Xenopus tropicalis: one gene and its partners. The main gene of each other region encodes a partner of the protein of the gene in region 7 in a complex. Links are inferred from orthologs where the notes say so. Each region holds a gene or a part of one and is shown on either strand. Other genes may lie near its edges. The genes, in order: crnkl1, cwc15, rbmx2, snrpd2, rnf113a, dhx16 and srrm2.

What was found.
Region 1: srrm2 (region 7) and crnkl1 share a complex: the UniProt entries of both Homo sapiens proteins name them as parts of the minor spliceosome. The link is inferred for Xenopus tropicalis from reciprocal best matches to the Homo sapiens genes SRRM2 and CRNKL1.
Region 2: srrm2 (region 7) and cwc15 share a complex: the UniProt entries of both Homo sapiens proteins name them as parts of the minor spliceosome. The link is inferred for Xenopus tropicalis from reciprocal best matches to the Homo sapiens genes SRRM2 and CWC15.
Region 3: srrm2 (region 7) and rbmx2 share a complex: the UniProt entries of both Homo sapiens proteins name them as parts of the minor spliceosome. The link is inferred for Xenopus tropicalis from reciprocal best matches to the Homo sapiens genes SRRM2 and RBMX2.
Region 4: srrm2 (region 7) and snrpd2 share a complex: the UniProt entries of both Homo sapiens proteins name them as parts of the minor spliceosome. The link is inferred for Xenopus tropicalis from reciprocal best matches to the Homo sapiens genes SRRM2 and SNRPD2.
Region 5: srrm2 (region 7) and rnf113a share a complex: the UniProt entries of both Homo sapiens proteins name them as parts of the minor spliceosome. The link is inferred for Xenopus tropicalis from reciprocal best matches to the Homo sapiens genes SRRM2 and RNF113A.
Region 6: srrm2 (region 7) and dhx16 share a complex: the UniProt entries of both Homo sapiens proteins name them as parts of the minor spliceosome. The link is inferred for Xenopus tropicalis from reciprocal best matches to the Homo sapiens genes SRRM2 and DHX16.

Annotation. Positions count from the first base shown.
Region 1 is NC_030681.2:36,926,343-36,930,957, reverse strand, and holds the start of crnkl1 (crooked neck-like protein 1), read right to left. Parts: upstream 3,300-4,615; 5' UTR 3,271-3,299; coding exon 3,223-3,270; intron 963-3,222; coding exon 810-962; intron 309-809; coding exon 217-308; intron 129-216; coding exon 1-128. UniProt on the Homo sapiens protein: Involved in pre-mRNA splicing process. As a component of the minor spliceosome, involved in the splicing of U12-type introns in pre-mRNAs.
Region 2 is NC_030678.2:164,534,681-164,539,557, forward strand, and holds the start of cwc15 (protein CWC15 homolog), read right to left. Parts: upstream 3,222-4,877; 5' UTR 3,187-3,221; intron 1,720-3,186; 5' UTR 1,709-1,719; coding exon 1,578-1,708; intron 1-1,577. UniProt on the Homo sapiens protein: Involved in pre-mRNA splicing as component of the spliceosome. Component of the PRP19-CDC5L complex that forms an integral part of the spliceosome and is required for activating pre-mRNA splicing.
Region 3 is NC_030684.2:38,932,663-38,935,506, forward strand, and holds the end of rbmx2 (RNA-binding motif protein, X-linked 2), read right to left. Parts: intron 2,481-2,844; coding exon 2,149-2,480; 3' UTR 629-2,148; downstream 1-628. UniProt on the Homo sapiens protein: Involved in pre-mRNA splicing as component of the activated spliceosome. As a component of the minor spliceosome, involved in the splicing of U12-type introns in pre-mRNAs.
Region 4 is NC_030684.2:70,386,086-70,390,738, forward strand, and holds the start of snrpd2 (small nuclear ribonucleoprotein Sm D2), read right to left. Parts: upstream 2,923-4,653; 5' UTR 2,852-2,922; coding exon 2,850-2,851; intron 1-2,849. UniProt on the Homo sapiens protein: Plays a role in pre-mRNA splicing as a core component of the spliceosomal U1, U2, U4 and U5 small nuclear ribonucleoproteins (snRNPs), the building blocks of the spliceosome.
Region 5 is NC_030677.2:156,458,237-156,462,828, reverse strand, and holds the start of rnf113a (RING finger protein 113A), read right to left. Parts: upstream 3,134-4,592; 5' UTR 3,116-3,133; coding exon 3,025-3,115; intron 2,147-3,024; coding exon 2,073-2,146; intron 1,746-2,072; coding exon 1,638-1,745; intron 1,397-1,637; coding exon 1,289-1,396; intron 755-1,288; coding exon 645-754; intron 521-644; coding exon 414-520; intron 1-413. Other genes in the region: noc4l (nucleolar complex protein 4 homolog), read left to right, coding at 3,232-3,378. UniProt on the Homo sapiens protein: Required for pre-mRNA splicing as component of the spliceosome. As a component of the minor spliceosome, involved in the splicing of U12-type introns in pre-mRNAs. E3 ubiquitin-protein ligase that catalyzes the transfer of ubiquitin onto target proteins.
Region 6 is NC_030684.2:75,481,821-75,485,945, forward strand, and holds part of dhx16 (putative pre-mRNA-splicing factor ATP-dependent RNA helicase DHX16), read right to left. Parts: intron 3,931-4,125; coding exon 3,815-3,930; intron 3,642-3,814; coding exon 3,431-3,641; intron 3,324-3,430; coding exon 3,225-3,323; intron 2,900-3,224; coding exon 2,747-2,899; intron 1,863-2,746; coding exon 1,722-1,862; intron 89-1,721; coding exon 1-88. UniProt on the Homo sapiens protein: Required for pre-mRNA splicing as a component of the spliceosome. Contributes to pre-mRNA splicing after spliceosome formation and prior to the first transesterification reaction.
Region 7 is NC_030685.2:12,488,044-12,492,962, reverse strand, and holds the start of srrm2 (serine/arginine repetitive matrix protein 2), read right to left. Parts: upstream 3,147-4,919; 5' UTR 2,980-3,146; intron 346-2,979; 5' UTR 323-345; coding exon 84-322; intron 1-83. Other genes in the region: thoc6 (THO complex subunit 6 homolog), read left to right, coding at 3,306-3,323. UniProt on the Homo sapiens protein: Required for pre-mRNA splicing as component of the spliceosome. As a component of the minor spliceosome, involved in the splicing of U12-type introns in pre-mRNAs.

The DNA of each region.
Region 1 (4,615 bases), on a different chromosome or scaffold from region 7:
TTGCTCTGTCCCAGATATTTCGTGCATGATTAACCTGGCGGCTCTTCATCTCCATCTCTGCATACTTCAGCCATAGTGTAATATTTCTGTAATCCACATCTAAAGCACGTTCGTATATAGACCGTGCCCTAAAAGCAAGAAAAAAAATTCAAATCATTAATAAGCGTAAATTTAATTTTAAGCCATCTATGCCAATTTAATTAAAAAAGTGAATACCTCTGAATTTCCTTTAGACTTTCCTCCCATTGTGCATATTTTATCCAGTTACTAATAACCGTCCTGTTCTTCCTAATGTTATCTTCAAAGGTCTGAAAGAAAGACACCACTTTTAACATTACGACTCTAAATAGAGATAATTATATCCTGTATTTATTGAATTGAGACATCAATTCATTTATGAATGAGACATCATCATGGACACAGGCAGCAGTGAATATCTCAATAATATCCTTAAAAAAAACATTTAGATTACTCTCTGGAAGTTCCGATAGTGTTCATGCATTGTTTTCTAAATTTTTCTGTATGTAATCATGTAAAAAATGTTAACAAAATGTATTTTTATACAACTTTTAGAATCATATCCCCAAAACCTTACTTGCAGCAGGCATCTGTACATTTCCTGCATTTCAGCATTTTGCACTGTAGGATGCCAGCCAATCTGCAGCTCAGCAATCATAACACAGAACTACAGATTAAACATAAACTTCCATGCTGCAGAGAGGACCTGACAGCATCTGTATAAAATGCACCCTACTGCTGCAAATGCTGTCCCATGGTAAATGAGTTTTAGCCACGGCTGAAAGCATTACCTTCCTTTTCCTTAGTTTGTAATCATTAAGCTCTTCCTCATCTGTGATCTTCTGTTTAGGAGGTGGAGGCAGAAGCTCAAGTTCCCTCTCTTTGGCCTCTCTCAGCAGCTGCTCGGCTGTAATCTGCACCTCTGCCGGCGCTTTGTTTTTAACCTTCAGTGGAACAAGAACACAAAGTCAGTTAGGGAAAAAGGAATATTTCTGGTAGAATAGCAGGTTGACTGTTGGAACGCAAGATGCTAGTTCCAGTTCAGAAACAGGTGCACATTTGTGGGTTCAGCCTTGATACCAACATTTCAGAAGACAAATGTGAGGGGGCTACAAGGATGGCACAGCTATGAATGAGGGGGCTACAAGGATGGCACAGCTATGAATGAGGGGGCTACAAGGATGGCACATCTATGAATGAGGGGGCTACACGGATGGCACATCTATGAATGAGGGGGCTACAAGGATGGCACAGCTATGAATGAGGGGGCTACAAGGATGGCACAGCTATGAATGAGGGGGGCTACAAGGATGGCACAGCTATGAATGAGGGGGGCTACAAGGATGGCACAGCTATGAATGAGGGGGGCTACAAGGATGGCACAGCTATGAATGAGGGGGCTACAAGGATGGCACAGCTATGAATGAGGGGGGCTACAAGGATGGCACAGCTATGAATGAGGGGGGCTACAAGGATGGCACAGCTATGAATGAGGGGGGCTACAAGGATGGCACAGCTATGAATGAGGGGGGCTACAAGGATGGCACAGCTATGAATGAGGGGGGCTACAAGGATGGCACAGCTATGAATGAGGGGGGCTACAAGGATGGCACAGCTATGAATGAGGGGGGCTACAAGGATGGCACAGCTATGAATGAGGGGGGCTACAAGGATGGCACAGCTATGAATGAGGGGGGCTACAAGGATGGCACAGCTATGAATGAGGGGGGCTACAAGGATGGCACAGCTATGAATGAGGGGGGCTACAAGGATGGCACAGCTATGAATGAGGGGGGCTACAAGGATGGCACAGCTATGAATGAGGGGGGCTACAAGGATGGCACAGCTATGAATGAGGGGGGCTACAAGGATGGCACAGCTATGAATGAGGGGGGCTACAAGGATGGCACAGCTATGAATGAGGGGGGCTACAAGGATGGCACAGCTATGAATGAGGGGGGCTACAAGGATGGCACAGCTATGAATGAGGGGGGCTACAAGGATGGCACAGCTATGAATGAGGGGGAGGGCCTAGGGGGCTACAAGGATGGCACAGCTATGAATGAGGGGGGCTACAAGGATGGCACAGCTATGAATGAGGGGGGCTACAAGGATGGCACAGCTATGAATGAGGGGGGCTACAAGGATGGCACAGCTATGAATGAGGGGGGCTACAAGGATGGCACAGCTATGAATGAGGGGGGCTACAAGGATGGCACAGCTATGAATGAGGGGGGCTACAAGGATGGCACAGCTATGAATGAGGGGGGCTACAAGGATGGCACAGCTATGAATGAGGGGGGCTACAAGGATGGCACAGCTATGAATGAGGGGGGCTACAAGGATGGCACAGCTATGAATGAGGGGGGCTACAAGGATGGCACAGCTATGAATGAGGGGGGCTACAAGGATGGCACAGCTATGAATGAGGGGGCTACAAGGATGGCACAGCTATGAATGAGGGGGGCTACAAGGATGGCACAGCTATGAATGAGGGGGGCTACAAGGATGGCACAGCTATGAATGAGGGGGGCTACAAGGATGGCAGCTATGAGGGGGGCTACAAGGATGGCACAGCTATGAATGAGGGGGGCTACAAGGATGGCACAGCTATGAATGAGGGGGCTACAAGGATGGCACAGCTATGAATGAGGGGGCTACAAGGATGGCACAGCTATGAATGAGGGGGCTACAAGGATGGCACAGCTATGAATGAGGGGGCTACAAGGATGGCACAGCTATGAATGAGGGGGCTACAAGGATGGCACAGCTATGAATGAGGGGGCTACAAGGATGGCACAGCTATGAATGAGGGGGCTACAAGGATGGCACAGCTATGAATGAGGGGGGCTACAAGGATGGCACAGCTATGAATGAGGGGGCTACAATGATGGCACAGCTATGAATGAGGGGGCTACAATGATGGCACAGCTATGAATGAGGGGGCTACAAGGATGGCACAGCTATGAATGAGGGGGCTACAAGGATGGCACAGCTATGAATGAGGGGGCTACAAGGATGGCACAGCTATGAATGAGGGGGCTACAAGGATGGCACAGCTATGAATACTAATTCTCCTGGGTTCTACTCGCTACCCATCAACCACAGCGTTCGTATTATCGCTAAATGTAAGACAACTCCATCAGCAAGTCATACAAACCCCCGTACAGACCTTCTGCTAAGAATCTATCCCAACTTTATTACCTTGGCCACTTTTGGAATTCGCTGCTTCCCCGCCGCTGTGGACGCCATGTTTCCTCACGTCTGCAACACAACCTGACAGGAAACACCAAGACGGGGCGTAATGACGTAGCGTTGGTTTTACGTGCTACGTAATAGTCTCCGTAGGACTTTTGCTGGTTTCGGTGACCGCCCCTGATGAATGTCACGCCCAGTCCCGTGTCCATAGCAACCGAGTATCGCGTCCTGATCCTGAGCGAATGCCTTACAGCTGCTGCCTGCACAAGTGACCGAACCCACTGAGCTTCCTGACAGGTAACAGGGAAGCTGCATATCGTGCTGTATAACCTTGGATTTAGCATGAATAGTGAAAATAACATGTATGGGTCTGGAACCCACAGCCGGCCTTGCGTGACCACTGTGCGCCGCTAAGCATTGGGCAAAGAGCCCCTCGGCGCTAACTGCTGATTGGGTGCTAGGGTTTCTGCACTGGCGCAAAGTTCAGCACCAACTAGTATGTTAGTAAATGAACACTATCTGTAAATGCTGATATTAATTATTTATGCATTGTGTCCGCCTGTTCTGTCTTTGTTATTGAAAATGGAACCTGCACATATTATGAACATTTGCCTTTGAGTAAATACAGTTTAGCCCAATGAAACACGTTAAGGTTCTGGAACTCTCTACAATTTGATATACTTTTCTGTTATAGTCTTTTAAAATACACTTTGACGTGTTCTGGGGTGCTGACTCCTAAGGGCTTTCATTATTTGTATTATTTCACCTGCACCTTCATGATCTGAGAGCCAAGACCTTACCTGAGCAGACATTAGCTTGTGTGCTATGGATCATGAGTTAAGTATATTGAAATGTGCATTTAAAGAAAGGGTACTAGGGAGGACCAAAACGTCACGTTGGCTGTATATGTACATTTAAATATACTTTTTTGATTTGCACAGAAATCCCAGTGTTGCTGGTCTTTTTTGTATGTGTTATGTTTTTACCATGCACCTGGGTATATAATTAAAGCCATGTGCCACCCCTCTGGTAATATATATATATATATATATAATAGAAAGAATGCCACACACACAGGGGTTTGATGCAAAAGAAAAAAATGTTTTTATTGAAAAAATTCCATATATATATATGGAAACAGGAGCTGCCGGCAGTCACATTTAAGGAAGCTTGTTATGCCTGGATGCAGTCTTCAAGTAGTAGCGAATAAGGGAAAATTGGAAGCCACTCATGCAGGTCTTAAGCTGGCCATACACGTGGCGATCTAACGATGTTTCGTGCGACACATCGTCAGATCCGCCACACACAGTCAGGGCTGAAACAGCAGATAAGGAGGTAGAAACAATAGGATTTCTACCTCCTTCTGCCGATTCAGCCCTGACGGCAGATTTTGGTCAGG
Region 2 (4,877 bases), on a different chromosome or scaffold from region 7:
CCTTTATGCCACCTCTAAATGGCCAGTAAACCCACTGATTAGAAACTCAAAGATTAGAGCTGGATCTGAACATACTTCCTGCCTATTGTTTTAAATCGCTTTGCTATTTGTGCTACTAATAAGGCAAATTCGATAACTGAAAGCAAAGTCACATTTTACTTTTAGTTCATAGGATCTCTATCGATGGCACCCTCTTCAACCCTGTCTATTTGGCGCGTTGTTTGGGGGTGATATTTGACTCCAGTCTCTCCTTCTCTGACCATATTAACAGCCCTGTCAAAACCTGTCACTTTTTCCTGCGCAATATTGTTAAAATTTGTCCCTTTTTTTCTACTGCAACAGCTAGGCTGCTCATGCATGCTCTCATCCTATCCCGACTACTTGACTACTGTAACCTGCTGCTAACTGCCCTCCCTAACTCCCATCTTTCCCCACTACAGTCTATATTAAACACTGCTGCCAAAATTCTCCTCCTCTCATCCAGGAGAGTTCAGGCCCTTCCCCTGCTAAAGTCCTTATCATGGCTTCCTATTAAACAAAGAATATCTTACAAACTCCTTCTCCTAACCTTCAAAGCCCTCCATTCCTCTGCTCCTCACTACATCTCTTCCCTTGTGTCGCCGTACATTTCTGGTCGACTCCTCTGTTCCTCGCAGAGTAACTGCTTGGTTACGCCCCCCCCCCACTACTACTGCAGTTTCCCAACTTGCTGCCCCTTATATTTGGAATGCCCTCCCAGATTTCCTCCGAAGAAAATCCTCCCCAGTGTTCTTAAAACTAAACTTAAAGACTAACTTTTGGAGCACTCACCCAGCACCTGATCTGGGAACTGGCACTTATATTGTAATGTCACCCACTGTGACCTACAGCACTTATATTTGCCTATTTGTGTCTGTAAGTTACCCTCCCATCTAGACTGTATGCTCTACGGGGCAGGGACCTCCATCCTCTTGTGTCTTTGACTCTTAACTTATTGCAACTGTATCTTGTATTTATCTGTATTTATTGTTATACTTTGTATTTATCTATTATTTTAATAACCTCCTGTTTGTATTAATGTATTCTACTGTACAGCGCTGCGTACATAAGTACCGCTTAATAAATATATACATACGAAAAGTCCACTGTATAAACAAACCCCTCCCTTCCCCCAGGGGCAGCCTTTAGTCATTAGGCTCTGTGATAAGGAACAGGTATTAGGATGAAGACACATGGTACTTAGTAGCAGCTATTTGTCACGGCTACTAAACGCCAGAAAATCCCCTGCCACAGACAATACTGAGAATTGCCTCTGCTAAAACACACAATTTAGAGACAATTATCAGTAAATGATCAGCACTGTCTATTTTAGTAGCCGTGACAAGTAGCTGCTACTAGTAGCTCCGTGTGTCTTCACCCATATACAGAGGTGTCTCATAATGGTTTGTAAATAATAACAAAAAGAATGTTCAACACAAGCACAAGTGAAATAATCTTGAAAAGGGGGATATACTTCCCCTTTAATGACCAACATAATTCACTGTGCCATGTTAAGGACTACAGAACAAATATCTTACATGCCTTAGCCACTCACATACCTGTATTTGATCTTAGTGTGAGAGGGGAGGTCTCTGCTGGAATACTGCTTTGAGAGCTGACTGAGATCGGCTTCCCCTTTACCTCTGCCGCCTCTTGCTGGTTCAAACGTTGGCCTGGCCGCGGTTGTCATCTTTTACACAACTGTTTCACACACAAATACAAGAACTGTTTTAAAATTCCTACTTTCATAAGCTGACTTTTTCTACACAGCTTCAGGAGTCAGAAGCAGCAGCGCAGAGCACAGGAAAGGCAGAATGATACTACAGGTATGGGACCTGTTATCCAGAATGCTCGTGACCAGATAAGGGATCTCCTACCTTATGTCTGGTAAAAATCATTCAAATATTGAATAAACCCAATAGGCTTATTCTGCCCCAGTAAGGGGTAATTATATCTTAGTTGGGATCAAGTACAGGTACTGTTTTATTATTACAGAGAAAAGGGAATCATTTAACCATGAAATAAACCCAACAGGACTGTTCTGCCCCCAATAAGGGGTAATTATATCTTAGTTGGGATCAAGTACAGGTACTGTTTTATTATTACAGAGAAAAGGGAATCATTTAACCATTAAATAAACCCAATAGGGCTGTTCTGCCCCCAATAAGGGGTAATTATATCTTAGTTGGGATCAAGTACAGGTACTGTTTTATTATTACAGAGAAAAGGGAACCATTTAACCATTAAATAAACCCAATAGGGCTGTTCTGCCCCCAATAAGGGGTAATTATATCTTAGTTGGGATCAAGTACAGGTACTGTTTTATTATTACATAGAAAAGGGAATCATTTAACCATTAAATAAACCCAATAGGGCTGTTCTGCCCCCAATAAGGGGTAATTATATCTTAGTTGGGATCAAGTACAGGTACTGTTTTATTATTACAGAGAAAAGGGAATCATTTAACCATTAAATAAACCCAATAGGGCTGTTCTGCCCCCAATAAGGGGTAATTATATCTTAGTTGGGATCAAGTACAGGTACTGTTTTATTATTACAGAGAAAAGGGAATCATTTAACCATTAAATAAACCCAATAGGGCTGTTCTGCCCCAATAAGGGGTAATTATATCTTAGTTGGGATCAAGTACAGGTACTGTTTTATTATTACAGAGAAAAGGGAATCATTTAACCATTAAATAAACCCAATAGGGCTGTTCTGCTCCAATAAGGGGTAATTATATCTTAGTTGGGATCAAGTACAGGTACTGTTTTATTATTACAGAGAAAAGGGAATCATTTTTAAAAATTTGAATTATTTGATTAAAATGGAGTCTATGGGAGATGGCCTTTCTGTAACTTGGAACGTTCTGGATAACAGGTTTCCAGATAAGGGATCCCATGCCTGTACTTTCAATTGTCCCTCAAGTTGATATTGCTGGCCATAGGCTTAACCAGCCGAGTTCCCTTACATTAGCAGGGGACTCACAGACTGGGCAGGAGGGTACAGTATTGCTAAGTAGATAAAGCCGAGCTGTAAGCTTCCCCAGCCAACAGGGATAGTGGGGGGCGATATATTGCTCCTAGAGGGCCTCAATCCCCTATGACTAAAATAATCGCTGCCGTTCAGCCTGAATTCCCCTCTTCCCAAAGGTGCGATTTCGCTCACCCCGTAACAGCGCCTCAGCCCCAGCACCAAATCCCACGGCGACTGGCGTCACAATTACCCGTCGCGCTAGTTCTTTCCACCGGGAAACTTCCGGCGCTCGGAGTACGCGTCACGTAAGCAAGAGGGCGTTCCAGCTGATTGGAAGCCGTCGGCGGCCATGTTTGTTGTGGCTATGTAATGAATCAGGGGGTGTATGTGCGGTAAAGGGAGAATATTATATAACACTGTGCAGGGCTTCTGACTTCTCTGTGTTGGTTTACATAAGAACATTTCCGAGCAGTCATTTTTCATAACTGAGATTTCTCTTTACTAAATTAGTTGCCCTTTTTTGTTATTCATTAATTCTTTTTAATAATTTTTATGTAGGGACCCCAAGATTTGGGCCCCTGTGCCTGGGTTCCCCTTTAGACAGGCATACCAGTGGGTGGCCTTGTGGGATATGGACCTAAGGGTGGTCCTAATTGTGTGTGTGCTATAGTTTCTAGTTTATTGTCATATACAAATAACAATGAAGCATCATTACCGTTATGAAATTTTTTGACCTGTGTTCCCCCCAACTTTACATAAACATCTACAATTTTTTTTTTAACTTTTTAATTCATCTTTAATTATTATATTATTATAATTATTCTTTCCAGATTAAAAGAGAGTTTCCTCTGCAGTTCAGCAGTGACCACTAGGTGGTGGTGTTCTGCAATATAAAAGGGAATGGACTCACAAACCATGAGGTCTTCTTCCTGGGACTTCACCTCTCTAAGAGGTTAGCTACAGGAGCCAGTTAGACATTTTATTGTCACTCTAGGAGTGAAAGGATAGATAGTGTATGTCTATGAAGATTTTCATTCATCCAGGTCATGGTATATCTAGTATAAATAAATGTAAGGGCTCTGGCACAAGGGGAGATTAGTCACCCGCAACAAATCTCCCTTGTCACGGGCAACTAATCTCCCTGAACTACCATCCCACCGGCGAGCATGTAAGGATGGTACACGCTGCGCAGTTGCCTCGCGAGGCATTTTCGGCGACTTGCCGAAATCGCGCCGCGTGTGCCATCCCACCGGCGACTTACATGTTCGCCGGTGGGATGGCAACTGATGGCAACTCGGGGAGATTAGTCACCCACGAACAGGGAGATTTGTCGCGGGCGACTAATCGCCCCATGTGCCAGAGCCCTAAAGCAACTGGACTTGTTTGTTACCAAACAAGTCCAGTTGCTTTAAATTTATTTATACTAGATAGATAGTGTATTTAGTTGGGCAGTTTGAGGCCCCTCCGAGGAGATCAGTGAGGTTATCACCTCCCGGCATTACTGGCCGTAGCTCAGGGAAATTCAGTGGCTGGCTCAGGTCACAGTATATTCCCAAACGGGAGATTATCTGGAGCAAGAGAAACTCCAGGTTTGGATATAAGGGAGAGATACCGGAGTCTGCATTTATTACCACTGAATGCTGTTTGGAATAAAGAAGTTTGTTTGGTTAATCAGCAAGTCTCCCGGTCAGTTCCTCCCCAGGCGGATCACCAGCAACCGGGTAAGCACTCACCCAAGGGGCAGCAGGGTCCCAGAGTTGCAGGGAGTTTGCCAAGTTGAGGCCTACACAAACTAACACAAATAACACACACTCTCAAAGATACTTATATACTTAATTTTTTGACCACGCCCACTTTGTGTGGCCATGCCCCAATTGCCACTC
Region 3 (2,844 bases), on a different chromosome or scaffold from region 7:
CATTGCTTCTGGTTTCAAAAGTCACTCTAAGTTGACTGCAGGAGGAAACTTTGGAAAACAGAAGCGATGTGTAGGCCTTTTTACTGCCAAATTGTATTGTTGCCAGTGGGAAGGCATTTTAGAGAGATTACTTGCCCCTTGTAGCAAAGATCTATTGTGGATAAATCTCTCAATGGGACATCAGTCTAAAATGGCAGCTTCTATTTTAAATAAACGGAGAGAGCTTCTATGACCGTTTACTCAGGTATGGCAAAGCATTTTGCAGAATAAATACAGCATTCTAGCTTGCACTATTGTGGTTAATCTATTGGCAATAAAATGCCAAACTGCCTTTTTATTATCATTTAAATAACAGACAAAGCATATGGGCTAAAGTTGTGGGCAACCACCCTACATACTTTATTTAAAGGCGAATGTACACAAGCTTTCAGGATGGGTTCTAATTTATGTCCAAACTGAACTGTATATAGTGTATGCTGCAATTGGACGAACAAAATTCTTCTCATCTTTTGCTTTGTGGTCTATTCCTTTCTATGAATACATAAAGAAAACTGGGCTATCATGGATGTGCAATTTTATTTTGATGGAATAATACAGCTAGTTAAATACATTCATGTAATAGCGGAAATGAATACACAAATCTTGCTTTATTTGTCAAAAAAAAAACAAAAACATTATGACCACCAAATAAATCTAATAAACATACATTTGACAAGAGAGTGGTGGGTTAGTGGCATCCAATAGCTTTTTATATTATCCAGTGGCCAGTAGCCTGGTGGTGGGCTTCCCCCTCAAAGGGGTGAAAAAAACTCAAAGTGATAAATCACCCCCTAGGAGTCTGTATTATAGGTACATATGAAGAGCTTAAAAACCTTCTATACAGAGGTTCCAAACCAACCCCACTAATACAAGAAGTAGTGTAGGTCTGGCATAATGCTCTGAATTTTTTCTGTTCCAGAACTCCATCTGTGGACCAAATAATATTAAATGCATTAAGTTTAGGTTGCCCTGATATTGTAGACTCCCAATATTAATATCTGGTCAGAGCTAAAGACAAATAAGAATGTAAATGTCTACAAAGAATGTATCTCTGGTAAATGCCCTAAAATGTCATTTGGTCCTGTCACAGGATACAAAGGTTCGGAAGTTTGATAATACCAGTTAGATGGTCATAAATAATGTGCTGATACAGCCAGATCCACTAGCCCCTACCAGGAGCCGTGAGAAAACTAGTAGCAATACTCATCATTGTAATACACTGAAAAGCAGAAAGCCCATTGGAAAAAAGCACATCAATATGGTGTTTGCGCTGCACAAAGTTATTTATGCTGGGATGCCCGACAAATTTGGAATACTGTACGACCCCTTAGGTGTACACTGAAATTAACATGATTTAAGTTAATGCTTCTGCAGGGCACTGCTTTACACTGATGCCAATAACTTGTCATTCCAGTGCTGATTCACTTCTAAAGGCTACAATAGTGATCACCCCCTCTGGCAGCATGGGTGCATATAATGTAACCCTTATTATACTGTTTTTTCTTTCCTCTTCATATACAATGACTGTATGTAATGCCCTAAATGATACACACTGCTATTTGTGCAGTCACAACAGGCCATTGCTCCAGTTTTGTAAAATGTGTGTACTATTTGCATATGCCTTGATGTACCAGCTATACTATATTTTAATTCTGCTTGTGAACTAAATCTATTATAATCTGTTCAATAAAACTTGTATTGTTAAAAAGTAAAAAAAATACATTTGATCTTGGTGATTTTAAAGATGGAAAATCTCATTCTGCAGGTAAAGCTCTACTATATTACGCCAGATTACTCTATTTTAATACCTCATGAACTGATGTCACTTTACTTTGTCTACCAGTTTTTCAAATATTTTTTATCACTGCTCAGCAGTTGTATTTCTAATTTAGTTTTTTGACAGACAAACAATTATAGCAAGGTTCAGCTCCTGCCATTTCAAAGTGGCCAGTACATCACAATTGCCTTTTACTTCTTAAAATCCTTCTCCCATGCATCATTCCATACACTGTACACCAAGGGTCCTTAGTATGTATTTAATAACAACTTGGGCTTAAACACTGCACAGACGTTCCACCTCTTATTGTCCCCATAAAGCATACTCTTCTGCTACCTTCTGCCTCTTTCTGTCTTGTCTTTTGATCTTTGCTCTTGCTGCTCTCTGTACTTATCTCTTGGCATTTGTTGTTCTCGCTCTTTGCGTTCCTCTTTTTCCTTGTGCTGTTCTTTGTACTTATCATGGGAATCACCTTTGCTGTTACTCTTTTTGTGAGAGCCACGGTTTTCTTCCATGGCCCTTGAGCTCTCACTTCCCACCCTGGAAAACTTCTCAATTGTCCTGGATCTGTCATAAGGGGAATCCAAACGTTCTTGTTTGTTATGCCTGCTGTTGCCACCCTCTTCCTCTTTCCTCCTGCTTTTGTCTTTTTTTTTCTTCTTATCTAACATGAAAAAACAAAAAACTATCAATTTAGTTTAGCAGAAGAATTAAATACACAGATCAGCTGTAAACAACCAGCAGGACTATAATAATAATGGCAAATGTAAAATTGGAAATTGTAATAAAATATGATAATTTTTCCTGCTACCATCACTAGTTAATGCTGTGAATAAGGCAACAGCATGATAGGTAAAAAAAAGGCCCCAATTTGAAAGGTTAAATGTGCTTAGGTAAATTAAAATATTGTATTCTAGGATACTTCTCCTGTTTAATGAAAACATAACAGTGATTGTATTTTTTTTTGGGGGGGGGGTATAAGCAATCCATCCCTTGCTACTTGTAACGAGTTCACACTATTAGAAAAC
Region 4 (4,653 bases), on a different chromosome or scaffold from region 7:
AGGGAATTATTTGGCAATATGTTATTAACATGGATCTATAAAGTGTCAACATATTTATTGGCACTGTGCAATAAAAGGGTGTATACATACAGATTATTATAACGCGCTGATACATTCTGCAGCTCTTTAGAGAGATTATAAACCATTCATGTCACTATTAGCCCCACCACAGTTTAGATTTCATTAACATACTGGTCTATGCAAGAATTGGGAATATATACAGTGGTGTGAAAAACTATTTGCCCCCTTCCTGATTTCTTATTCTTTTGCATGTTTGTCACACAAAATGTTTCTGATCATCAAACACATTTAACTATTAGTCAAAGATAACACAAGTAAACACAAAATGCAGTTTTTAAATGAGGGTTTTTATTATTTAGGGAGAAAAAAAATCCAAACCTACATGGCCCTGTGTGAAAAAGTAATTGCCCCCTGAACCTAATAACTGGTTGGGCCACCCTTAGCAGCAATAACTGCAATTGAGCGTTTGCGATAACTTGCAACGAGTCTTTTACAGCGCTCTGGAGGAATTTTGGCCCACTCATCTTTGCAGAATTGTTGTAATTCAGCTTTATTTGAGGGTTTTCTAGCATGAACCGCCTTTTTAAGGTCATGCCACAACATCTCAATAGGATTCAGGTCAGGACTTTGACTAGGCCACTCCAAAGTCTTCATTTTGTTTTTCTTCAGCCATTCAGAGGTGGATTTGCTGGTGTGTTTTGGGTCATTGTCCTGCTGCAGCACCCAAGATCGCTTCAGTTTGAGTTGACGAACAGATGACCGGACATTCTCCTTCAGGATTTTTTGGTAGACAGTAGAATTCATGGTTCCATCTATCACAGCAAGCCTTCCAGGTCCTGAAGCAGCAAAACAACCCCAGACCATCACACTACCACCACCATATTTTACGGTTGGTATGATGTTCTTTTTCTGAAATGCTGTGTTACTTTTACGCCAGATGTAACGGGACATGCACCTTCCAAAAAGTTCAACTTTTGTCTCGTCGGTCCACAAGGTATTTTCCCAAAAGTCTTGGCAATCATTGAGATGTTTTTTAGCAAAATTGAGACGAGCTTTAATGTTCTTTTTGCTTAAAAGTGGTTTGCGCCTTGGAAATCTGCCTGCAGGCCGTTTTTGCCCAGTGTCTTTCTTATGGTGGAGTCGTGAACACTGACCTTAATTGAGGCAAGTGAGGCCTGCAGTTCTTTAGATGTTGTCCTGGAGTCTTTTGTGGCCTCTCGGATGAGTTGTCTCTGCGCTCTTGGGGTAATTTTGGTCGGCCGGCCACTCCTGGGAAGGTTCACCACTGTTCCATGTTTTTGCCATTTGTGGTTCGCTGGAGTCCCAAAGCTTTAGAAATGGCTTTATAACCTTTACCAGACTGATAGATCTCAATTACTTTTGTTCTCATTTGTTCCTGAATTTCTTTGGATCTTGGCACGATGTCTAGCTTTTGAGGTGCTTTTGGTCTACTTCTCTGTGTCAGGTAGCTCCTATTTAAGTGATTTCTTGATTGAAACAGGTGTGGCAGTAATCAGGCCTGGGGGTGACTACAGAAATTGAACTCAGGTGTGATAAACCATAGTTAAGTTATTTTTTAACAAGGGGGGCAATCACTTTTTCACACAGGGCCATGTAGATTTGGAGTTTTTTTTTCTCCCTTAATAACGTAAACCTTCATTTAAAAACTGCATTTTGTGTTCAATTATGTTATCTTTGACTAATAGTTAACGGTTTTGATGAGCAGAAACATTTAAGTGTGACAAACATGCAAAAGAATAAGAAATCAGGAAGGGGGCAAATAGTTTTTCACACCACTGTACTAAATCAGATATAACACTATTTTTCTGACAACAAAACGTCTACTGGTGATTTTTTGTTTAATGGAGAATACAATTTTATTAAAAATGGGTTACCCTATTAACTGTCCATTTTGGTACGATTTTAATTACTAGGTTTAATTTTCCCCAAATAATCATGTTTAAAGCTGTTTTTACCCATCGCTATCTACTTGCTGCCTCCATGTTTTTAAAGGAGTGCCCCATAGTCAAAAACATTACTGAGCATGTGTGAAGTCCCACCCCTTATTGCTAGAGCAATTAAGCCTTAATAAACTAACAAAAAAGTCTGGGCTGAATGTGTTAAAAGGCATATTTTTCAGTCATATGCATTTTTTAAACACAAATTAGTGTTTAAGTTGACCACACAGATCTCTATAATCGTGCAAGCACATAAAGCTGCAGAATATTTCCTTTGTAGAAACTTGTCATGTGGGTCCAACCAGGAAAGATATGGAATTGATTAGAAATTGATTGAAAACATTTAGAACCATTGAAAATGTTTAAATCGTGTATACTGAATAGTTGCTTAGTATTAAAAGACACATATCGGATTTGAATTGGGCTAATAGAACCCGCACTTAGGTTGGGGGAAACAGTACCATTTTGTCCAAAAAAATGCTCATAGCGATGTGCCACCCACACCCGGATGATGGAGAACTTGCTGCAGGTAGCCATGTTATTAACATGCCTGTATATAGTGAGCAAGTGTCACATGCAATTGCATAATGAGAAAACCCGGGGAGCTGTTTATACACACGACCTGGTGCTGGTAGCCTGCAAGGGAAGCTTTTTGGCACTGCCATCTCTGCCACAGTAATTAAATCACAGAACTACACAGCATTTTCTAAGTGCAGGCAAGTTCCGGCTAGTACAATCGCATGCTCTGCTACATAGAGGCATTCGTTCTAAGCGTCAATCAGCTAAACTTAAGTAGATACAAAAGGCTAGTTTTTTTCCTTATTTTTAAGTATTTAAAGCTGGGCTGAAGATATTCCACCAGTTACTCACATCTTTCTTTTTGTCTTTCCTTTCCCTTCTCACGTTTTCCCGGCGTGTAGAACGCTTCCTTTGAAGGGCCACTTCCGCTTCCGGGCCACTTTAGCGGCTAGTTCCTGCTTGATTTGGTTAAGCCTGTAGAAACGTGCCCACGTGATCGACACGAAACAAGTTCCCTCCAGTTTGCTACGCAGAGGGGCAGCGGCGTAATCTGACAGAGAAAAGGCGGGGTGGATTAGTTAACAAAGAGGGCGCATCTAGTTCCTAGAGTGGTTATAGGACAAGGCAAATCTTATTCCAATATTGTTCCAGTATGTAAGGCAACGCTCTGTGCTGGGAATTCAGTCGCTAAAGAGCGCAATAAGAACAGTTCCATGTTTCATTTTGACCATGTTTTCTCAGATTGTGCAATTGGAGGGATATACCAGTAGGTGGCGCAATTGTTACATAATAATTATAATAGACGCTTATAACATGCTTAATAACTTTGAAACTGAAAACAAATCTGAATTGCAAAAGCATTTGGAAGACCGACCAGAAAATGTGTACACTTTTTAGTGTCCTATTGTGTAAAATAACTGAATGGATAGCTTTACTGCGTAGCAGATTTAAAGGTGTTCTTCACCTTTGAATTAACTTTTAGTATGATATAGAGCAGTGTTCCCCAAACAGTAGCTTGCGAGCAACATGTTGCTCTCCAACCCCTTGGATGTTGCTCCCAGTGGCCTCAAACCAGGTGCTCATTTTTGAATTTCTGGTAAAGGAGGCATGTTTTGCAGCCATAAAAAACAAGTATAATGCCAAACAGAACCTTCTGTAGGCTGCCAGTCCACATGGGGGCTATCAAATAGCCAATGATAGCTCTCATTGGCACCTCCAGGAACCTTTTTCATGCTTGTGTTGCTCCCAAACACTTTTTCCACTTGAATGTGGCTCACAGGTATGAAAGGTTGGGGATCCCTGATGTAGAGTGTAATATTCTGAGACAATTTGCAATTGGTCTTAATTTTTTATTTGTAGTATTTTTTTTAGTTCTTTCACTTTTTGTTCATCAGCTATCTTAGAGCTAGAGTCCAGATTACCTTAGCGACCAGGTAGCAATTTGAATGAAAGGGTGGTAAATAAATAGGAGAGGACCTGAATAGAAAAACAAGTTATAAAAAGTAACAATAACAATAAAACTGTATGCTCACCAAGCAATAGTTTTTTGGCTGCTGGGGTCAGTGACCCCTATTTGAAAGCTGGAAAGAGTTAGAAGAAAATAAAAAAATGATTCAAAACTATAAGAAATAATGAATAGGAATAGGCAATTCTATAACACACTAAAAGTTAAAGGAACAGTAACACCAAAAAATGAAAGTGTATAAAAATAATTAATATATTATGTACTATTGCTCTGCACTGGTAAAAGTTGTGTGTTTTCTTCATAAACACTACTACAGTTTATATAAATACCCTGCTGTGTAGCCATGGGGGCAGCCATTTAAATTGAAAAAAGGAGAAAAGGCACAGGTTACTAAGCAGATAACAGATAAGTAGCAGATTCCCATTGTATTCTACACAGTTTATCTGGTATCTTCTTATGTAACCTGTGCCTTTTCTCCTTTTTTCAATTTAAATGGCTGCCCCCATGGCTACACAACAGCTATTTCTATTAACTACAGTAGTCTTTCTGAAGCAAACACACAACTTTTACCAGTGCAGGGCAACAGTACATTATATTTTAATTATTTTAAAACATTTTTATTTTTTAGTGTTACTGTTCCTTTAACTTAAAGGTGAACCACCCCTTAAAGGGTTTGGCAGTGATTTACTA
Region 5 (4,592 bases), on a different chromosome or scaffold from region 7:
ATCTGTGGGCATCCACTCAGATATGTGTCTGTACCCGGAGCCACTGCGAGTGGATTTCAGCACAGAAATGCATACTCAAGGGTTTCATCAACACAGTGACTTTGGGTGCAGAAACAGAAGGTTGCAAATATGAGTGGAAGCTAAACTGTTCCTTTGCTAACAGAAGCCAGCTATAAGATTAATCAGTCCACAAGTTAGAAAATAAAAGTAAAAAACTGACTGCTGCTATGGGTAATTGCTCATACTTGTGTACTTAAATTAGGCCCAGTATAAGTGAAACTAGCTGTGAGTAAAACTTGCAGTGTTACATAATAAATAATAGTAAGGGAAGAGAGAATAAAATATGGGCAAAAAGGGCCAAAGGAACAACAGACATTTAATGGAAAGGGGTACAACACAATCCAGCAACTGACCTCCAAACCCACAGAACCCAGTCTCCTTGTAATCTTTGCAAATATCTGGCTGGTAATCCCAACGTACTGTGGCTCTGAGGTGCTCTGGGGCACGTATTGGTCCTTTCCTAAAATGATAAAAGTTAAAGTTATCAATGCAGACTAAACTATTAGGATTTAATCACCCAGTTGATTGAAAAGTGAAATGTTTCTAAATTAAAACAGAATGGAAAGTGGGAGGGGTACACGTACCTAACCATGCCAGAGGATGCATTGCCCATAGAGGTATCTTTGGGTTTCACAAACTTCTGGTAGTTGTGGATTCCTCGATAGATCTTGTCATCTTCCTTCCCCTTCAACTCCTGTCAGATTAAAGCAAAATAAATAGTGGGAACTAAACAGAGTGTCATCTATGAAAAGGAGAGTATTACAATATTAAAGAAAGTAAAGTGAAGAGAAAAAAAGCACAGAATTTTTAAAGAAACTGCATGTAAGTCATGCAGAACACTGCATGCTTTACTAACACTTATTGCATTCCTTAGTGATCCCCAACCATTGGCTCGGGGGCAACATGTTGCTCACCAACCCCTTGGATGTTGCTCTCACTGCCCCCAAAGCAGGTGCTCATTTTTGAATTCTTGACTTGGTGGCAAGTTTAGGTTGAATAAAAACAAGATTTGCTAACAAATAAAGCCTCGTAAGCTGATGGTGTGCATAGAGGCTACCTATCTTATTTGGCACCTCCACAAACTTTTATGGCACTTGTGTTGCTCTCCAAGTCTTTTTACATTTGATTGTGGCTCATGAGTAAGAAAGGTTGGGGTTCTCTGCTTTAGTGGTTCTCTCATAGTTTAAGGTGAATATATAATCCACTGCATCACATACTAAATACTCACTTCCTGTACTTTCTGGCTCCTCTCAAAAATTGCCTGAGCATCCTTGTCTTTTTCAGTGTCTAGTTCATATGTAGCTGTGGCTCCCATGTCATCTGGCCCTACTGGTTTCTGCAAGAAACAAAGAATGCATACATAGTAAGAAATGGGGGGTGTCTTAGACATGTCATTCTATAAATACAGATTTTTTTTCAATGCATCATTTATATTGAAACAAGACAGACAGCATAGGCTGATTCACAAACTGAATAAAATATCACAAAGAACTAACTGATGATGGGTTTCAAAGATTTTAACATTTATGACATAAAGCCTGTGCTAAGAATAAGCCAATTCCAAAAGAGTCTCTTACCGCAGATCGGGTAGATTTATAAGACACAGTGATAGACTTCGCTGTTTTGTCCTCATCTTCACTGCTGCTTGCTTTGTAATCTTCACAGTCCTTTGGTTGCTGCCTGCTCTAAATCACACACAGAGGTAAATACAACTACCAGAAAGCTCAAGAGGACAAACACTACACACATCCCTTCTGTGGCATGTTAACGTCTGTCCTGCACACAGGGTGACAGGCTGGAGAGGGTTATGGCATGTGTTGTGCTTCCATTCAGCCATTAGCTGCCAGGAGAAGATGATGTGGTATCTATATCTCTAAACAGAGAGGTCTACAGGAAATATCTGGGAGAAGTGTTGCTGCCCACTCTGAAAGATTAACTGGCAGAAAATTTTATAAAGCTCCTTAATGCTCCTGGGGCCTCAGGGTGACATAGTGAATACCTGTGACTCTAACCTTCTGAATCATGGGATTAACCACATCCTTCTTTATCCTCCTTATCACTGGACCTTTCTCTTCCTCGCTGCTCTCTGCAAACAAATCAGTAAAGGACTGATCAGAATAGTACAACACACTTATACAACAGATGCATCTAAGTACTATTCTGAAATTCGATAAATTTAAGACACCAAATGCATGTGAGCCCAGTGACATAAAGGTATGGGATCCCTTATCCGGAAACCTGTATCCAGAAAGTTCCAAATTACGGATCTCCTATAGTCTCCATTTTAATCAAATAATTCACATTTTTAGAAATGATTTCCTTTTTCTCTGTAATAATAAAACAGTATCTTGTACTTGATTCCCAACTAAGATATAATTAATCCTTATTGGAGACAAAACAATCCTATTCAATATTTAAATGATTTTTAACAAACTAAAGTTATGGAGATCCAAATTACAGAAAGACCCCTTATCAGGAAAACCCCAGGCCCTGAGCATTCTGGATAACAGGTCCCATACCTGTACCAATGAACAGTAAATGAGGCTGTATGTATAATTATATTTGTTGTTGTTAATGTTTTGCAAATACTTTGATGGGTTTGATTTTTGTTTTGTCATTTGGACCTTAATTCCCTGGTACATGCTACTGATTTCTAATGGTAATTATATCCAGCAAACAATACAGCCACCCTCACCTGCATCTCCTTTAAGATAGTGGTTTTGAGTAAGGAACAAAGTCGAATAGTTGGCCAATATACACGTTTGAAAATAAAAGCAAAAACCTTATTGGTTGCTAACAGCAACAACACTTGCGCAATTAGTTGTATCTGCGCTCTCTTCTGCATTTAACTCATTTACTCCATCCCAACACTTTGCTGAATTTTATACACGGTAAGCGTGTAATGCCTATAATACTATATTATAATAAACATTTATTTGCACTCCCACTTTCTCCTTGTCTCACCATTGTCCGATTCTTTGCGTTTCCGTCCCGCGAACTTTCGGGCACTTTTTTTAAACACGAAACTGCAAACTGGTGCGTTAGAGTCCGCCATTATTCCTGTGACGCCAGACTAGCTCCAGATTGCGCGCATTGGCTGAGGCCACTTCCTGTTTAGAAAGCGCACGCAGGCGCATTACCGGGGGGAAGTCGCGTTGCTCCAGTAGCAAGATGGCAGCGCGCAAAGCGAAACGTGTGAGTTCGAGCTTTGCCAAGCAAAGTGATGCCGAGCGCCACGATTTGGATAGCAAACTCGCAGCAGTACTGGGAAGTAGAACCAATGCCAACGCGGTGTTTGATATTCTGGAACATCTGGAGGTGAGTGCCCGCTTTGCAGTGTGCTAGCAAACAGTATAACAGCAGCCCTGACAAAGAAGAACATCTTTTGCACGAAACAGAAACACAACATTTTGTGTGACAGTATGCACGTCTAAACAGTGTGACTGGAAGTATTTTAAAGTTCTTATAACAGGGCTCGGCAACCAGTGATAGAAAAAGACAGATGGGAGATGGCCATTAGGGAAAAAAGGAAATGTGAAAAATTACATTTTTGCAGAGAGAGAGAGCTTTTAGCGAGGGTAACATATCAGATTGCTAAGGTTACCAGCCTACTCAACGTATAATTGATGTTATTATTAATCAGCAAGAAAGATCCTGTCTGAATATTTATTTAGAAAAGACTGCAGCCTACAGACAGGGCCAGGTGGGCAAGGCGTGACAGCGGTGGGCAGAGCTAAGATTGAATGCTCAGGTCTGAAAAGAGTGGAACTGCTGGTACATCAGGCCGAATTGTTGGCAGTCAGAATCAGCACTGGGTGGTGCAGGGAAAACAGAATGGCATGAATACATAGTTGTGGGTAATGGGAGAGGAAAATTCTAGTAGCAACGACAATTCCATGAAAGATTCTTTCTAACCTCTTGTCTTTTCTCATTTGCTTTCCCTATTACCTCCGCTGCCCTTTCATTCAGGACCTTCTGTTTTGATCTCACACTTTTCCTAACTTTCCCCTTTATCCCCCGCAACCTTCTGACTCTCACTTTTCCGATTACCACACATTTTCACCCCCTCCATAAACAGAACAACAAATGTGTTTGCGAGTTTCAGTTCTCCTATATTACGGTATAGAATCAGTCACACAGGAACTGTTCCCTTGTGATTATTGTTTGGTCTGTAACAGCTTGTATATTCCTCCCCATAGTAATCACAGTCTATGTACTCCTGAGAGCAACTTAGAGGTCTTTAAAAATTCTCTAGATACTTGCATGCAAGCTAATGTGTCGTTAAATCTCTTACTTGATAGTGGTTCCCTTCTCGGAACTCTGCCAGCGTCTTCATGTGACAATGCTCCTCTACAGGATTACTGTTCCACCAGCTAGAATTTTCCTTCTCCAATTTGAACCCCCCCCCCCCCCCCCCCCCCCACATATGATCTCTGTGTCCACTGTGCCGCTGCTGCCTCTTCCTGGACACAGGGGTCTTCTAAAGGGAGCTTGAGCCTTGTTGTTCTGTTTTGCACAACTATGTGTTTGTA
Region 6 (4,125 bases), on a different chromosome or scaffold from region 7:
CATTCTTATATGCCCAAGCTGTATAAAGTCGAAAACATTTTCCTGCAGCCACACGTCCAGCTCTCCCAGCCCTTTGATTGGCTGATGCCTGAAAAACAAATGGCAATACTTGCTTAGAGCTCTAGATGTTGTATACTACAGTATAGTGACGAGTGAACATTTCAAAAAGTGGCTGGGGAAAAAAAAAAGCCAATGATACCTTGGATTCAGAAAATGCACATTGTGTATTTTTCTGGACCCCCATTTGAACTGTAAAGGTGCTAGGAGTAGGACATTCTAAAATGTATCTATAAACGTTATCTTAGAGGCAAACCGCCCCTTTAAGGCCTAGTTTTAATATTGGCAAGACGAGGCTGACATTATAAGGGTTTACCAAAACACAGAAAGAAATCGCCAGTGCTCGGTCTAACCCACGCTGTAGCGTTGACCAGCTGCTAGAAACACCCTTGTGCCAGCGCTCGGGCTAGCCCACATTCTGGAGTTGACCAGCTGCTAGAAACGATAAAAAGCGATTAATTATACACAAAGAGAAAGAAAGATTGCCAGCGCACAAGGGTGTTTCTAGCAGCTGGTCAACGCTACAGCGTGGGTTAGACCGAGCGCTGGCGATTTCTTTCTGTGTTTTGTGTACAAATTGTAACCAAATTTTGCTTTTAGCTGCTATGTAGCCTTTAAACCAATGAATCACTTTCATGTGTGTGCTAATGAGCTGGGGCTTAAAAGTTCCCTGCTTTTCCACTAGAGCCCTTTTGAGCTAAGGGTAGGTGCAACAGGGTCTTACTACTCAGTCACACTGAGTCTGTGATACAATTAAAATTAAGTCCCCCAGCAAAGTCATTAGACAGTGTAGGACTCGCGTACAATGAGGGGCCTTGACATGGCACGTGAGCTTACATATTTTGGCCAAAGTGTGGTACTAACACCTCATTTTTTGTAAAAATTATTTTTAAAGGCAAACTAAGTGCTGGCAATCTTTCTTTCTCTTTGTGTATAATTAATGGCTTTTTATAGTTTCTAGCAGCTGGTCAACTCCAGAATGTGGGCTAGACCGAGCGCTGGCACAAGGGTGTTTCTAGCAGCTGGTCAACGCTACAGCGTGGGTTAGACCGAGCGCTGGCGATTTCTTTCTGTGTTTTGTGTACAAATTGTAGCCAAATTTTGCTTCTAGCTGCTATGTAGCCTTTAAACCAATGAATCACTTTCATGTGTGTGCTAATGAGCTGGGGCTTAAAAGTTCCCTGCTTTTCCACTAGAGCCTTTTTGAGCTAAAGGTAGGTGCAACAGGGTCTTACTACTCAGTCACATTGTTTGCTGGGGGACTTGATTTTAATTGCATCACAGACTCAAAGTCATTAGACAGTGTAGGACTCGCGTACAATGAGGGGCCTTGACGTGGCACAAGAGCTTACATATTTTGGCCAAAGTGTGGTACTAACACCTCATTATAAGGGTTTACCCTTATTGTTTTGAAAGCATTTCTCATTGATTATTAAATTAAGGGCTATTCTGCAGTTATAAATTAATGTTAGGCTGAAAATCTTGCAGGAGGTGAACTAAAGCTGTCCAATTGTGGTACCAAAGATTTTTTGACCCTATGTCTGCCCAAGTATGCCATAGACTTTTTTTTTTTATTTTTTTAAATCTATAAAAAAAAATCTGCCTGAAAACTTCTACACTGAAAATGATGGACAGCATTGGTTCAACAGATTAGTAAGACTTACCTTTGAGCAGGGAGTCACAATGAGGGACTCCATTCCTGATCGAGCATTGTAACTTTTCTGCTTGCAGAAACCTGGGTCAATAACATATATAATTCCATCAATTGTAAGTGATGTTTCAGCAATGTTAGTGGCTATCACAACCTGAAAAAAAAAGAAAATACGACAATGCTAAAAGGTTCATAACTCCTTCTAACCTACTACTCCAGCATGTTTGAATAGGAAGAGGAAATGTCATGCCCTGAGACGCTCTGCCTAACATTTAAGCACTATATATGACAGATACAGCTGCAAAATATATATGTGGAATAGCCTGCTTTGAGGGTGGCACCCCTGTATGTTTGCAAATTAATAAGAACTCTTCTTTAAAGACAACCTTATGGTAACTAAACTGGTTGGGAGTGTCATACAGTTATACAGATATACAAGGGTTGGATACAAGGAAATGCTCTGTTAGTACCACAGTCATATAATACCAGCTTTAGAATGGTTTCAGTCATTTTTATACTTTATAATGTGTATTTATTAACATGCCTTAATGAACACATTGTAGGTTTTCTATATTTAATAAGACCTCATATGTAGCTATTGTGTACACTTAATCACATTACTAGAGGCCATGTAGGTCCTGTGGGAGAGTCTGGAAGCAATTCATAATAAAACATCGTTGGAGTGCCAGTTTAGGGTAGTTACTGGTAGTTACATCAGTTTATACAGCTCAGGTTTAGAAGGGCAGCCCAATACTGCATATGGTATTTGCCTCAGACTCCTTATAGGAAGAAGTAGTACCACAATTCCCTTCTCTCTGAAACACACAATGTAAGGGAATAACTTATAGCATCTTTTGTCTGTGCTATTCTTAAAGGGTGTGCTAAGCATTTAGTTTAGTTATTTCTCTCTCTACATAATTGGGTTACACTACAAGATGATGTCCAGACACGTCATTTTAGATGTTTAGGTCCGGCAGAAGGGTGGGAGTCAGACTTTACTATTTAATAAGTACAAGAAAACCAGCTAGACTCTCATACTTTTCTTGCTCCTGGAGGTGTAGGTTCAAAGATCTTTGCCTGCATGTCAGAAGGCAAATTAGCATATATTGGTAACACCAGCATCTCTGCAATCTTGGATCCTAGTCGACGACATCGCTCTTGTAGCATCTCACAGCATGTTTCTATCTCCTCCTGCAACATATGAAATGTACATGTACCAAGACTGCATAGCAGTGGCACTGCTTATAACATCAGTACATTTACATTAAATGATAAACCTAACAAAGGGTTATTGCACATACAAAATTCACACTGCCACTATTTAGCATGAGCTTTTTTTTTTGCATTTCCTACAGATGTTAACTGGAAGGGACTTCTATCTAGGCAGTCAAATAATCCCATATCACATTAACCTAAGGTCAGTGACTTTTCAAACTTTTTTTTTTTTTTTTTTTTTTTTTAAATACCAAAACGTATATATTTGTTGGTTAGCACATTCCCACTTCTGCCTACATACCTGTCCTGTAAGAAAGACTAAGATGTCTCCTGGTGGCTGGGTAACATGAATCTGCAACACTGACACCACACAGGCCTCCAAGTAATCTGCTTCAGGAGCCTGTTGTGAAAATATCATTCATCAAAAAAGGAAATAAACATAAAATGCCCAATCTCATCAATAATGCTGCCAATGTCAATTCTCGTGTCAAACCTACAGTGATTTACCTTGGTGTAATATATATCCACTGGATACCGGCGCCCAGGAATACGAAACACTGGGGCATCATCAAAAAAGGAGGAAAATCGCTCTGTGTTTAGGGTGGCACTGGCTACCAGAACTTTGAGGTCTTGGCGGAAACGGGCAATGTCTTTAATGAGGCCAAAAAGAACATCTGTGTGCAAAGTCCTTTCATGAGCTTCATCTATTATTATTACACTTGTGGAAAAAAAAAATGATAAGGAAATGGAGAGAGTAATACAGAATACAGGCTGGTCGCTGTACAAATGAATTAATTTTTCTAAAGATTCTGTATGAGGCATGATGTATTCATATGTAACAGAAGTCCCCTGCCTAAATACATACAAATCCAGAGATTGCATAATGGATACCTGTAAGATGCCAGATCAGGCTCAGTGAGAAATTCCCGCAGTAACATCCCATCTGTCATATACTTCAGCACTGTGCGCTCAGATGTGCAGTCTTCAAACCGAATACTATATCCCACCTAAAGCAAAAAAGTGCGAGTAAAGCTTTTGCTACATACAGAAACTCCTCTCTGTAGTCTTTGTTTTTTAGAATGGTGTTAAAAATTCAAATATCAATAAAGGAACATAAATGATTTAAAGGAACAGTAACACCAGAAAATGAAAGTGTATAAAAGTAACTAACATATAATGTGCTGCTGCCCTGCACTGGTAAA
Region 7 (4,919 bases):
CATTTTGTAATTTGGAACTTTCTGGATAATGGGTTTCCGGATAACAGACCCCCATACCTGTACTGGTTTAATGTGTCTCTTACCCTTGCTCCTCCATCATCTCCTCCAGTTCCAAACATTTTAGCTCCACCTTTCTTTTCCTCTCGTGATCTAAGATATCCTGGTTTGGTTTCTTCACCAGGAGGTTTTCCAGCTTCTTCAGTTCCTCCTCGGACTTGTAATCGGTCCTGTCCTTCTTGTGTCTGACAGAGGACAGGTTGCGTTGGACGTAGCCATTGGTTCCACTGCCCCTTGGGGTGGGGAGTCCGATTCCATTGTACATTGTGCTCCTAGGGAGTCAGGGTCCTAAAAGAGAGATAAAATAAGATGTTGGTAGAGCAGAAGAGTTTGCCAAATCCATAGATCCGTTGGGCCTGAGAAACGAGGAAACAGAAGTTAACCCCACGTGGCCAAGTAACATCCAAACCAACACCTGGCAGATGTCTATTTGCACCACAGTTCTGCCTGGTTACCGGTTTTCCATAGTTTGTATTTTCTGCAGTATTTCTGCTTTAAGTGGCAGGAAGCAGTGGAAAGATACACTCTGGGGTGAGTTTCTTTAGGAGGGAAATATATAGTTAGTGCTGCCCTGGGTAATTAAGGAAGACGGTGCCATTAGATATGAAGTCCAGATACTGACTAACCCCATTATTCAGCAACAAGTGACTACTGTCATTGACCCTAACTTATACTTATATATATATACATATATATACACATACACACACACATATACATATATACAGTATATATAATGCATTAAAAATGAAAAATGCAGTAAGTCCTGAAGCCCAACACCCTGGGCTTTAACCTGCTATGATAAATATACCCAGCCATGTTAGTGCTTTGGGAGTTACCCTCATTTATATAATCACCCACACACCATGAACTGGTTACTTCAACCGGCACATTAGCCCCCCCCAAACACTTTCATTTGGTCCGAATCTTCCAACTTTATCTAAAATGTGAATTTTTATTTAAACCTTTAGAGCCCTCCAGTTCTACCCACCTCCCCGACGACTCAGATTCCTGTTCCCATTTGTTGGCTCAGCCGATACTCCTGAACTACAACTTATAACTTCAATTCCCGTCTCCACCAATACATCATCCCAAGCCTCTAAACTGCCCCTAAACCTTCCCAGATATGGCTACCTTCTACTCCCTCCCAAACTGCCCCTAAACCTTCCCAGATATGGTTACCTTCTACTCCCTCCCAAACTGCCCCTAAACCTTCCCAGATATGGCTACCTTCTACTCTCTCCCAAACTGCCCCTAAACCTTCCCAGATATGGCTACCTTCTACTCCCTCCCAAACTGCCCCTAAACCTTCCCAGATATGGCTACCTTCTACTCCCTCCCAAACTGCCCCTAAACCTTCCCAGATATGGTTACCTTCTACTCCCTCCCAAACTGCCCCTAAACCTTCCCAGATATGGTTACCTTCAGATTGTAAGCTCTATGGGGCAGGGACCTCCTTCCTACTGTGTCTCATACCACATGGCACTTATATATATATATATATTTATTGTATTTATTATAACACTTGTCCTCCCTGTGTGTAACTGTGTATATTGTAAGACTGTACAGCGCTGCGTACCCTTGTGGCACCTTATAAATAAAGTTACACATATATACTCCAGGGGTGGGCAAACTACAGCCCGCGGGCCACATCCAGCTCGTTGGTTTTTTTTAATCCATCGGCGTAACGCTGACCCTGTAAGTCAATGTGGCCCGGGCCAAAAAGTTTGCCCACCCTGTTCTACTCCCCCCCAAACTGCCACCCCCCCCCTGGTTCTACTCCCTCCCAAACTGCCACCCCCCCCCCCCCTGGTTCTACTCCCTCCCAAACTGCCACCCCCCCCCCTGGTTCTACTCCCCCCCAAACTGCCACCCCCCCCCCCCTGGTTCTACTCCCTCCCAAACTGCCCCCCCCTGGTTCTACTCCCCCCAAACTGCCACCCCCCCCTGGTTCTACTCCCTCCCAAACTGCCCCCCCCGTTCTACTCCCCCCAAACTGCCCCCCCCCCTGGTTCTACTCCCTCCCAAACTGCCCCCCCCCCCCTGGTTCTACTCCCTCCCAAACTGCCACCCCCCCCCTGGTTCTACTCCCTCCCAAACTGCCACCCCCCCCCTGGTTCTACTCCCTCCCAAACTGCCACCCCCCCCTGGTTCTACTCCCTCCCAAACTGCCACCCCCCCCTGGTTCTACTCCCTCTCAAACTGCCACCCCCCCCCCCCCGGTTCTACTCCTCCCCAAACTGCCCCCCCCTGGTTCTACTTCCTCCCAAACTGCCACCCCCCCCCCCCCCGGTTCTACTTCCTCCCAAACTGCCACCCCCCCCCCCCCCCGGTTCTACTTCCTCCCAAACTGCCCCCCCCCCCCGGTTCTACTTCCTCCCAAACTGCCCCCCCCCCCCCCCGGTTCTACTTCCTCCCAAACTGCCACCCCCAATGTGAAACATACTGGGCCTATTCTACTCCATGCTTACTAATATCACCCCCAGTTTAGAGGTGATCTCCACCAAAATGGCTTCACATAACTTTTCAATACAATTATTACACATTATACATTGTTGCAGGAGTCAGAAGCAGCAGTGCAGAAGGAACAAACTCGCAATGAACCAATGAGAATGTGAGACGTACAGTGGCTAAGGGCTCAGAATGACATTATTATCTAGTGCGTATGGGGGGGGGGGGGTTCCCCAGAGGGGAGAGAGCGCTGTACCATATGCTATGGGGAAGGGACAAAGCGCAGTAGCGGGAGTAGCACAGTAACACCGCCTGCGGGCCAGCCCGGCCCCCTCACTGACTGAGGGAAATTCCCCGTTGCTTCCCACGTTTGGCTTCCTCCATTTTTGTCCCTATTAATAAAGCCTTCCCATTCGCCTCCCGCTCTCCGCCATTTTCCAATCTACCCCGCTTCCCTCACAGGCCTCTCACCTCCGCCTCGGAGGGACCCTCTTTTCCAGCCTCCGGGGGTACTATTCAGCTGACGCTTCCGCGGCCTGGCCCCGACACTTCGCTGCGCCACTCACACACGGTGCGGGCTGTACGTTCCGTGCGTGCCTTGCGTACGGAAGCCCCATGTGACCAACGCGCTCAGAGGTGGCGGGTCTCTTACCCAATCAGAGCGGCGGCCTGCTGACGTCACCGCCCGGTTTCCGCCTATGGGACTACACGTCCCGGCATGCCGCGCGTTTTAGTGCGACGTCACTTTCCTGCGCCCGCTTTTTTCCCGGGACTGAGCGGCCGGAACACGTGACGTCATGTTGGCTAACGCGGAGGTGAACGAATGTGTTAATGGGGAAAATTGTCTCTCGGTCCCTATTGCGGGGCTTGTTCAACTCTTTTGCTGTTGAAACCTTAACTGCACCTGGGCCCTCAGGGCATGCTGGGATATGTAGTTTTTTCCAGTGTCCAGACCCCAGGGAAAACCTTAGACCATAGATGAACTTATAAAACTATTTTCCTCCTTTCCCCACCCAATTTCTTTATTCTCCTAGTCTCATTTATATACTAGTACCTATTCTTCCATCTATTTCTATTCTTTGTTCCCATTCAGAAATAGGGAATGGCCATGAAGTTAGATTAGGGGCAGGAGGGCCCACCGGGAGTTTCCCTGGTATCCTGGGGGGCCGGTCCGACACTGGTTCTTTCAATGCTGAGCAGCAGATCCCAGTGTAATTGTATTGTGTTCAGGGTTGGACTGGGGGGGGGGTGCAGGGCCAACCGGGGCTGCTGCCCCAAGGGCCCCTCACCCCCAAGGTGCCCCCGCGGGGCATGTCCCCCTAACCCTCTGCAGTGGGGATCGGGTCAGGGCCACTGGGTTTTTTTCAGGTATCCCAGTCCGACCCTGATTGTGTTTCCCATAGCAACCAGATAACAGTTGCAATCCAAAATGGGAGATCCCAAGGAATAGTCCCCGAAAGCTCCAAAGAAAGAAAAAATGGAGACCAACTGCAAATTGGATTAGGATCCAAATATCTTCAAAAACCGGCTGAGTTGGCTCCTCCAGACTGAGATACTAGCTTATTATCAGGGGCCCCTCCCTGCCTGGCCAATATCTGGCTAAAGGTGGCCATACACGCACCGATAATATCGTACGAAACCTCGTTTCGTACGATATTCGGTGCGTGTATGGTATGTCGGTGAGTCGACCGATATCGCAGGAAGCTGCTGATATCGGTCGTCTCGCCGATCGGACCAGTTTGAAAATTTTGATCGGGCGCCATAGAAGGCGTCTGACCAAAATCTACCTTCAGCGCTGAATCGGCAGAAGGAGGTAGAAATCCTATTGTTTCTACCTCCTTCGGTCGCACGAAACATCGTCAGATCGCCACGTGTATGGCCAGCTTAAGGTTTGTCCACTTGTGTATCTGCAAGGTTAGAAGATCCCATCACAATGAACTCTATGTTACATCTCCCAATGGGAGCAGTGCATTATGGGATCTTTTGCTCACGTAAAGCTGCCACGGTCCGTTTATAACAAATGTAAGGAAGCTGTACGGGGACAAATCTTTTGACTTCTGGATATAAGCACAAAGACTTGGGCCTGGCACTGTACATAGTGCCCCCTGTGTTCAGCAGCACTGCATACAGGAGGGGTGGGCTGCATGAGTGGGTTCCTCTGGCGTGCCATATAGGAACAGTAGGAAAGCGGTGGTTCACCTTTAAGATAACTTTTAGTTTGTTAAAATGTACTATTCATAACAACTTTGCAATTGGTCTTCATTATTTTTTTTATAGTTTTTGATTTATTTGCCTTCTTTGTCTACATCTTTCCAGCGTTTACATGGTGGTCACTGACCCCACTAGCCAATAACATTTCATTTTTGTCACTTTTTATCCCTTATCTTTTTATTCAGTCCATGTTCTATTCA